Linked DNA regions of Xenopus tropicalis. The protein of the gene in region 1 binds, or shares a complex with, the protein of each later gene. Links are inferred from orthologs where the notes say so. Each region holds a gene or a part of one and is shown in the gene's direction. Other genes may lie near its edges.

The links. Proteins that work in one complex are often made in the same cells at the same time.
Region 2: cdc45 (region 1) and mcm5 share a complex: the UniProt entries of both Homo sapiens proteins name them as parts of the CMG helicase complex. The link is inferred for Xenopus tropicalis from reciprocal best matches to the Homo sapiens genes CDC45 and MCM5.

Annotation. Positions count from the first base shown.
Region 1 is NC_030677.2:154,229,966-154,235,324, forward strand, and holds the start of cdc45 (cell division control protein 45 homolog), read left to right. Parts: upstream 1-1,804; 5' UTR 1,805-1,918; coding exon 1,919-1,969; intron 1,970-2,052; coding exon 2,053-2,112; intron 2,113-5,356; coding exon 5,357-5,359. Other genes in the region: ufd1 (ubiquitin fusion degradation protein 1 homolog), read right to left, coding at 1,066-1,198, 1,570-1,572. UniProt on the Homo sapiens protein: Required for initiation of chromosomal DNA replication. Core component of CDC45-MCM-GINS (CMG) helicase, the molecular machine that unwinds template DNA during replication, and around which the replisome is built.
Region 2 is NC_030680.2:115,591,957-115,597,292, forward strand, and holds the start of mcm5 (DNA replication licensing factor mcm5), read left to right. Parts: upstream 1-1,622; 5' UTR 1,623-1,637; coding exon 1,638-1,807; intron 1,808-2,481; coding exon 2,482-2,608; intron 2,609-2,785; coding exon 2,786-2,914; intron 2,915-3,236; coding exon 3,237-3,409; intron 3,410-3,718; coding exon 3,719-3,874; intron 3,875-4,248; coding exon 4,249-4,415; intron 4,416-4,646; coding exon 4,647-4,818; intron 4,819-5,336. UniProt on the Homo sapiens protein: Acts as a component of the MCM2-7 complex (MCM complex) which is the replicative helicase essential for 'once per cell cycle' DNA replication initiation and elongation in eukaryotic cells.

The DNA of each region.
Region 1 (5,359 bases):
CACACCATACACTATACACATTACTTCCAGTGACCCTTTTTCAAAAATGAATAAAGAATCACTGAAAGTGCTCCACTTTTTAAAGACTGAATTATCTCCTTTGACTAGAATTTTTGTTTTTCCTCACTCATGAAAGGACCAGTAAAACAAAAAACAAGAAAAGGTTTTATCTGTATGTAAATATAATATACTATTACCCTGCACTGGTAAAAAGTGTATGTTTGCTTCAGAAACACTACTACAAGTTATATGAAGTATATGGCACAACCAAAAGAATAGGGTAAAAAGGCACACATCTACACAGCAGAGTACAATGGTGCTGTTTTTACACAGCATAATAAACATGGGTCAAATGCCATTCATTCTTTCTACAGAACAATTGATTGAAAACCTCTTATATAATATAGAACCTATAATACTTAATGCTCAGGACCAGGGGTTTTTCCTGTACAAGCGGTCATTGTGTAATTTGGATCTTCATGCCTTAAGTCTGCTCAAAATGTATTTAAACATAATATACCAAATAGGATTGTTTTGTCTCTAATAAGGTTTGATTATATCCTAGTTGGGATTTAGTACAAGTACTGATTTATTACAGAGAAAAAGGAAATTATTTTCTTAAATTTTAATTATTTAATTAAAATGCAGCCTATGGGCCTTGCCGTAATTTAGAGCTTTCTGGATAACAGGTTTCCGGATAACGGATCACATACCTGTACTGGATATGTGTGGCCAAGAATTACCATTGTGTCCACTTTCCACATCCTGTACAGTTTGCATGATGGTACATGATGATAACAGAGATCTCATGACCTGTGACCAGGCCTGGACTGGCAATGTGTGGATTCTGGCAAATTCCAAAAGGACTGCTGTTAGATGCCATAGACAAGCACTATTTAGTGAACTAGCAGGGGCCTTGAAATGCAAGGGCATATATTAAATCCCAGTCTGCTTGTGGCCCACAAAAAAGTGGTCTAGTTTATGATTATTAGATATTATTACCTATGTTTAAATAATTTTATCTTGAAAAAATTACAGTACAGCTCTTAGTCACATATTACTTACTTTTCCCTCCTTTCTCCACATCAGATCGGTCATTGGGACCCGCCAACATGGAAACGGAGTAGCAACGGTACTGAGTAGAGAAGCGGTTTTGGAAAACCCGGGGTATGGGGTGGTCAAACATGTTGAAAGAAAACTAAAAGAGAATGGAATTAGTGAGATTTTGGAGCTGTTATTTCATTAAGCAACATAAAGATACATCGTGATAATTTGAGAAATTCTTTTTTACTTTGTTTTTACCCTTTTAGTGTTATTTAAGTGATCTGTAAAAACAAAAACTATTACGGAAACATACATTCAGATTAAAATCATACTGTTATTTTTCATGTAAAAAAAATCTTACATACAACAACTCTTCTTTCCCATCCAAGATGCATATAGCAGTAAAAAACTAACCCCTCAGTCACTGTTCAGCCTCCATAAAACCTGGCAGGTAAATGGTGTTTTATGATGATATATAGGTATACATGACATGACGCTATCACAAATGTGGAAGACAGATCTTACCATTTTGTTACCGGCTTTCTCTTATTATCCCGGCGGACCTAACACTATCTTAGTCACCGTCCTTCCCGGAAGTAAATATAATTGCGAATCAGACGATCGGAACAAGAGAAACTACGAATCCCAAGAAGCAACACGCTAAAAGCGGAAGTTAATAGACCGCTGTCAGATATCGGGAAGCGACCAATTGGCTGCTAAACTGTAGGACGCAGAGGCGGGGTTTATCTTGCGCTGAGCCTTCACGGATTGGGCGGGGTTGGTGTATGTCACGACGAAACGGGCTGTTTGATTGGCCACCGCTGCTCTAAGGGATTTTGGCGCCAGTTTCGAGGGCAGCCGTCAACTTGTCGAGATGTTTGTGAGTGATCTCCGTAAAGAGTTTTACGACGTGATCGTTACCGAGGTGAGAAGGGTAACCGGGATAAAGGATTTTTTTTCCCAAATAAATGATATGACACCACTCACTGTCTCTTCTCTGATTTCCAGCGCGTTCTTCTCCTTGTTGCACCTGATGTTGATGCTCTCTGCGCCTGTAAGGTACTTCAGGTAAGAACAAACCAAAATTAAGTTTTTTTTCAACAATTTAAATCACCATACCTACTTAAAACAACATGTAACTATGAAATAAAGCCAATAGGATTGCTTTATCACTAACAAGTTTTTATGCAGCTTAGTTGCTGTAAAGTACAAGATACTGTTTTATTACAGAGAAAATGTAATTAAAAAAAAAGATTTTGCATAAAATTGACAATGGGAGATTTCTGCATATCTGGTTTCCATTAAACTCACAGTGCCCCTTGCACAGATCCGACAGTATAAACACTTCATCCCCACATATAAAGCTGGTCATACCACCTAGTTTGCCAAATGAGTGGATCTTTGTCCCATATGTCACAGCACCACACTGATTGTTAGGCCTTCGACCAATGATTGGATCATAATGGCTGCTAATGCAGGCTGTTGGGAGAGGTCCACATCAATACGTATGTGGTGCTCTTCCCAATGGGTTTTTTTTTTTTTCTACACTGCCTAATATGTTGGCCAGGTAAATATCAGGGATGAAGTCGGAGAGGACCCATGTACCGGTAAATACAACTTATTTTATTTCCCACCAGATAATGTGCATGGTACCAACAGTGTTGCAGCTCTTGAACCATTTAGGGTCTGCTACTAAAACACTGTTACTAAAACAATGTAAAGTGTACTAGTGAGTATAAGTTACCAATGATAGAAAAACCTAGAAAGAAGGATAAATATTTCATTTCTGAAATCTGAACACTTGCCCCAAGTTGGTTCTATTATTCCTCCATCTCCAGCCTTTTGCCCAAATGAAAACATTTTATAGTGTAAAATTCTTGTGAAAGTTTTGCATTTGCTACATATAAATAGTGCATCTGTGTAATGGTGGATACTATGATTTAACTTTTATTTTTACCATAACTACGTAGTCATATTTTTTGGTTTTGGTCAAATGCACCTTAGAAGTTTAGTCCAAACCCTTATTAGCACATTTACAAAATATTGCAACAATTGTGAACAAATATTTGTTCTATTCAATTGTCCAGAGTGGTAATGTGCTTGGTCTTAAATTTTCCAATTCTTCCCCCTTTATTAAAGGAACAGTAACACTAAAAAATGAAAGAGCTTTAAAGTAATAAAAATATAATGCACTGTTGCCCTGCAATGGTAAAACTGGTGTGTTTGCTACAGTAACACTACTATAATTTATATAATAAGCTGCTGTGTAGTCATGGGGGCAGCCATTCAAGCTGTAAAAAAGGAGAAAAGGCACAGGTTACATAGCAGATAACAGATAAGTTCTGTAGAATACAATAGTGTTTTATCTGTTATCTGCTATGTGCCTGTGCCTTTTCTCCTTTGAATGGCTGCCCCCATGGCTACATAGCAGCTTATTTATATAAATTATAGTAGTCTTTCTAAAGTAAACACACAACTTTTACCAGTGCAGGGCAGCAGCACATTATATTTTAGTTACTTTTATACACTTTCATTTTTTGGTGTTACTGTTCCTTTAACTCAAACTGCCCTATCACCTTGGCTGATATCATAACATCGGGCAGTGTGCTCTAGAAACACTATCCCATCAAAGATGAAGACCAGGTTTCTAGAGCCCAGCTGCTGGACAGTGATAACCTGCACTTGAAGTAGTGAGCCATTTTTTGGGCCAAACCAGCTCTTTAAAGTCATGTGATTTTAATAACCATTTAGTTTAGGGGAATTAAAAAATCTGCAAACAGTGCTAGGATAATCCAAAATCCTGGATTTGGTGCATGCCTCTCCTTAATGCATTAAAGGTACCTGCCATTTAAAAATCTAGCACCAAAAAAGCATAAAATATGTAGTCTTAGCACTTTAAATATAGGCTGAAAACTGTTGATTTTTCTTAGTGAACTGGTAGACTATTTAGCATTTTTAAGAAATTTAAAAATGTCTAAAAAGTAGTTTTGTTTTTTTTTTCTCATTTTAAGTGTATGCTGGCCAAATTACCCACCAAGTAAACCCATCATTTGATACACCCTGGGTGTACTAGTAAAGGGCAAACAAGTGCAAGATCATTTGTATTATACGACTAGTCACAAATGTTTAAAGTATTCTGGATGCATGGACATTAATTGATGTTTTAGGAGTTTTCTTTAAAGGACATGTAAACCCCACGCACAAACAGCCTCTTAGAAATCTTTTTTTAATACCTGTCACACTGGTTGTCCAGAGGTTAATAGAAAGGCTGCAGCATCCCATTAATCACTTAGATTTCCTTCTCCTCCTGTAACCCACTCAGCCCCCTCCCTCAGAGATTTGCTTTGACTTCTGGCTTGTGGGCATGCTCAGTTGTTCTAAGCTCCGATTACCAAACACGCTCTCCAGTCTAGCAGCCAATGAAGAGATGGCATTTCTGGGTCCCATAGAAGCTCAGGTCTAGCTGTCTGCTTCAATGTTTTTCTTCTAACCTCCTGTCCTGAGCTCAGCTTAAACAAAGCAGAACTTTTATCGAAGACAGTTCTGCCTGTGTGAGCCTGTATTCTTTATGAAATGTATGCTGAATTCGGGTCTGTGTGTGTATGTTTGCAGATATAAATGTATTTGATTATGTATCAGGAAAAATGGCCACTGGGTGAAAGCTGCTATTTGCTTTAGAAAAAATGTAATTGTGCTGATAAACAGAGGGGGATATATGCAGTGCAAATTATGCCATTTGGGTGGGGGAAGACGTGCCCACCTGATATATATTGTAGGCAAATGTAGGCTTTACATGTCCTTTAAGAATCTGTATACAACTAAATTGCCCCCTCCCTCATCTGCTATGTTGGACTGTTTTAACAATCAAAACAAATCCGGTGTAAGCAAAGCCTTAAATGGGAACTCCATTTTAAAAGTATATGTACATTTTAATATTGAAGCAATATGCCTTTTTATATTTTTTTCTGACTTATAAGAACTTAAAATAAAAATAAATTAAATAAAATCTTGATCTCCTTACAGACAAAGCATCAGTTCCCATAGTGTAATGCAACAATGCATTGTGGGAGTTGGTGTCTTAGCTGGAGGAACGGTGACTTGCTGCATTGTTTAAACTCTAGGGACAAGAACAAAACTTTTAGACAGATGATGCGTGCAATATCATTTAATTTAATTGGATAGCTGCTAAAAATAATTAACTATATAAGGCTGCACAATGACGCTGAAACCCCCTCATGTAAACAGAGATATGATTTTTGTATTAAATGTCTTCTCTGATAGCTTAACCAGTGTTAATCTTTTTTGTGCACAGGCA
Region 2 (5,336 bases), on another chromosome or scaffold:
GGAAACGATCAGGATACAATGCCCCTTTGGGACCCACGTACTCCCGGTGTGATGTACTCACTCTTTGAGTTATTCCTTACCGGCGTAGTAGTGGTCCTCTGGGCTAGGTAGATACTCACAGCAGACACAGTTGTATATGAAAGGAATGCTATGGTTTATTCAGGCAGAGACCTCTCCAGGAGCGGCATATCATTTATACACACGGCAGGGCATATCTCCTTACTTCTCATTGAGATCCTTTTCCTGTTGGTACTACCTCACGGGTTTCCCCAATGTGCTCCTATCTAGGTGCTATCCCCGGTACTATCTGTGAGACCCTCCCTTTGGAGTTCTCAGTACCCATGCTAGGAGTTACACCACAAGGACCCACACCGGTACTAGCGTATGGCACCCTCAGATCCGGACTCCTGGACTAGCGGGGACTTGTCCACCTACCTAGCCACTTAATGCCCTGCACTCCAGCAGATGTAATGCTGGGGGGTCTTAACCCCACTACCACTCCTGGAGGGGCAATATCCGCCCATTCTAGCTTGGTGTCCTACATGACACTCCTAGAATGTCCTATTACAAGAAACTACTATCTAATAACTCTATCAGGGGAAGCTCCTGGTCCCAGGAGCTATCCCAGCCTAAAGTGGCTCAAGATGGCTGCTACCCTTTTTATGGGCCTATGCACCACCCGGTGGCCATAACCCGAACTACAGGTATACTCCCTGTTAACTATGTAGAACCCAGTCATCCCAGTGTCCCTGCTAACTAACACCAACCAGTGGCCTAGTCTAGGGGTGTCTGTCCTAAGGGCCCATTTTTGATAAACCCCTACATACGCTTCTATCCATTGATTTTTAAAAGCATATTTATCAATTAGTGAGTGTAAAAGTTCACCCTTTTAAAAAAATAATAGTAGAATTTCACTCTAGCAAGTTTCTCACTCTAATAAATCTACCCCTCAGGCACAATGCACTGACATAGCTGCCTACACAGAATAACATTTTCCTGGCCATCCCCTGGCAGCATAACATTTGGTAGAGGATAAACCCAAATGTTATGCTGCCAGGGAGGAAGGCCAGGAAAAGAAAATCTCGGTAAGTATGAATTGATTTTCTCCTTTAAATGGTAGAGCAAGTTAAGTAAACACTGAAATCTAGAAATAAACAGTTCACCATAAAAATCATAATATCCCTTTAAGTAAAATAGATAGAAATGTAGAATGAAATCACCATAACAAGACCAAGTAGAACTCGGTTCTAAAATACTGCCTCAGAGTATTGGACTCCTCTGAACACGCTAGTTTTTCTGTTCCTCAGCTACAACTTCCTCCATTTTGTTTCGGTAAAGTTTGGCGCCAGGCATTGCCCTCCCACCTATGAAAGGGAAAAAGCTGCCATTACTCCCAGCCACTCAGCAGGCTTCGAAATCTCTTACGTAAGGCGTGCACTGCTGGATTGGCCGTAGATACAGGAGAAGGGCGGTCCCTAGAAACGGTATCAACCAATAGGGAAATAGCTGAGGCGGAACAGATCGTCGCTGTTACAGAGGTTTGGCGCGAAAAAAAGATTTCGCGCGTTCTTGTGAAATAGGTGCATTGGCGGCCGCAGCTCTCGCCTTTTGTGCTTGGTACCCTTTTCTTCGTTACAATGTCGGGATTTGACGATCTTGGAATCTACTACAGCGATAGTTTTGGCGGAGAGCAGCCGGTGGGTGACGACGGACAAGCCAAGAAATCACAACTTAAGAAGCGGTTCAGAGAGTTCCTCAGGCAGTACCGTGTAGGGACCGATCGCACCGGCTTCACCTTCAAATACAGGTCTGGGACACTTTGTTGTAACGATTTACAAGTTTGATTTTGTTAGGTGTAATCCTAAACGAAGGGATCTGATTAATTCAGAGGTTACTAATGGGCTTGAGCATGACCCGAACATATATACGAGCGCATGTGTCATTAAGTGCCATGTAAAGGGGACTTTTACATTGTATATTCATCTACATACATGTGAAATGTCATACCCATCACTTGTGTCAGTGCTGTTCTGTAATTACTTCCGATCCACTACTGTCCTTCCATCCTAGACATAGATCCATGGTTACATTAATGGTACAGAGATACCCATAATGCACAGTGGCTGTGATAAGAGGAGGTGTTAAAAAAAATCAGATGGCAAAGCATGTAAAACTGAGTTAAAACACAGCTAACTGGAGCTCTGTATTCATATCTGAAAACTTTTTCCCAAGTCTGTTATAGGAAAGCCATAAAAAATGGTAGAGAATTTTCAATAAGTTTATTTTGTCAATTTATTTTTTGGACTAAATATCACAAAGAACTAGGATTTTTGTCTTTATATTCCTCTTTAAGGTGTTGCAGGTGCTTAAGTCAATGTCAAAATCGGGACTGACCATAGTTTTACAGATTTGTAGTTTACAACCCTCAGTATCTGTGACAGGGCCAAATAACATACATTCAACAACATATTTTATTTACAGAGATGAACTCAAGCGTCACTATAATCTGGGAGAATACTGGATAGAGGTGGAAATGGAGGACCTGGCCAGCTTTGATGAGGACCTTGCAGATTATTTGTACAAACAGCCAACTGAACATCTGCAGCTGGTAAGTAGCTTTTAGTACCAATGTGTTCAGTCTGCCAGTTATTTGCCAGTACTGTGAGTATTAAGGTCTTTACATCTGGGATGTAGAGTATATGTATAATATAGCAAGATATGTCACAGTCAGTGTGTGATTTTATATATTTTTATGATTTTACTCATTGTTTAACTCAATTTACAGCTGGAAGAGGCAGCCCAGGAAGTTGCAGATGAGGTGACTCGCCCACGACCTGCAGGTGAAGAAACTATACAGGAAATCCAAGTTATGTTGCGGTCTGATGCCAACCCTGCTAATATTCGAAGCCTGAAGGTGAGAAATTCTATGGTTGATGGTCTCTTGAAATTTGCATTGTCACATGGCTACGTAAACATATAATTACAATACCTGTGTTTTTTTTGTTTTTTTTTATAAATGACATTTGTTAATATTTTCATTTCAAAGTGGTGGTAATGTCAGATTTTCATCAAAGTATGCTTAAATATCTAGACTTAAATATTATGCCCTGCTTAGTCAGTGGTGCAGCTTGTTCCACTGAAGTCACAACATACTGCCATTAATATTACTTAGGGTTATTTAATCCCTGTGCCACTTTATTAACCATTGCATATTCTCACCCAATGTTATATTGCAGTCCGAGCAAATGTCTCATCTTGTCAAAATTCCCGGCATTATCATTGCTGCCACCGCTGTGAGAGCCAAGGCTACGAAGATCTCAATCCAGTGTCGTAGCTGCCGAAACACAATTGGCAACATAGCTGTGCGTCCTGGTCTAGAGGGATATGCTATGCCACGTAAATGCAACACGTATGTGTAATTGAAGTTCTGTGGAACATGAATGTCTTTTGATGTTACTTGGACCCTTGTGATTGTGTAATATAAAGTTTTCTTCCAATGGAAGCAACTTGTCAAACTTCTTAAGCCTTTTTATACTTCGTACTATTCTTAGTGAAGTGGAGTGTATTTCCATTATCTGTTAACAGTTGATATGGGGGGAAGGTCTAGGAGCCATAGTTCACCACTGGATGGAATTGGCTGTTAGCTGTGGTAAAATTGATTAGTCAGCACAACATTTACCTTTTAGATTCTTTTAACTTTTGCTGTTACTCTTCACAGGGAACAGGCTGGCCGTCCAAAGTGCCCATTGGACCCATACTTTATTATACCTGACAAGTGCAAATGTGTAGATTTTCAAACTCTGAAGCTTCAGGAGTCTCCAGATGCTGTACCTCATGGAGAGCTTCCAAGACACATGCAGTTGTATTGTGACAGGTATGTTTAAAATTAAATATATTTGTAATGAAACAGATATTGCTAGATTAGAGAAATGCAGTATGTTCTATGTATAGGTTTGCAAATAATTGGTCCTTTTCATCTATATTTCTTTTGGGATGTAGACAGAGGCTTTTTTTCTGATCACTGTCAATTTGATGCTTAGCTGCAGAGTTAATGTTGCTACAGGAGACTCTTCCATACAGTGTCTTGTGGTTAAGACATTTAAAGTGCACTGTAACCTCGGCTTAAATTAACCCCATTTAAAATGCATTTATTTTCGAGTCTGCCTTTTTATATCTAATGCTATTAGCTTTGGTGTAAATTATTGTGATACCACATTAAACATTTAAATTTCCTAATGTCTATTTAAGGTACTTGTGTGATAAGGTTGTTCCTGGAAACAGAGTGACAATCATGGGTATTTACTCAATCCGGAAGAGTGGAAAGACCTCAACAAAGGGCCGGGATCGAGTGGGAGTTGGGATCCGCAGTTCCTATATAAGGGTAGTGGGCATCCAAGTGGATACAGAAGGAACAGGTGAGAGGTGGCAATATGCAAAAGTGCAGCTATGTTTAAAGGGACAGTAACACATTCCAGTTGAACTTTCCATTCCATTCCAGTTGAACACAATTCCTATATAATCCCGAGTGTTAATAATATTTTCTAAAGGGGGTGCCCACTGCCTCCCCCAAGCACAACACATACACTTACTCAACACTTATAGCTGTCAGATGTGTGATATGCATTTATTGCTTACTCGTTGTTTAGGAAGAAGTGCAGCAGGTGCTATAACGCCACAAGAGGAAGAGGAGTTTAGGCGCCTATCTGCAAAGCCTGATATCTATGAGACTGTTGCTAAAAGTATTGCCCCCTCCATTTATGGCAGTAGTGACATCAAGAAAGCCATTGCTTGCCTGCTGTTTGGAGGCTCCCGCAAGAGGTAAAACTTCTGTCAACTGTAAACTAAAACAGTGATATCCCCTTATAGGCAAATGGCCCATAGCTATTTTAACCACCATGGTCCCCTCTGAGTAAGAACTGTGATAGTGAAACAAAAATTGACATGGTTTATAGCTGCTTTTTAGGTGCATGATGGAGAATTGTGCTGCTTTTGGCAGGTACTGAAGCTGTCAGGGATTACTTAAATGCAGAATTGTCCTTTAGACTGCAATGAGCTTGTGTACTGTAGATCAGGGTCTACTGTTGGCAGTCTTGCACATAGCTCTTGGCTTTCCCATTTTCCTTGAATTGTTTTGAACACAAGTAATAGTGTTAGGGCTCATACTCTCAAACATCTGTTCCTGCATTCCTCTGCATTGGATCCTTCCTGCTTTCCACCACAGGGAAATGCAGGAACAGATGCAGACCATTCTTCCCTATCATTTGCTCACACAGGCGCATGTAAGCACTGAACACAGGTGGAGCACAACATGTTGCTTGTCAGTAGGAGTCCTTAGT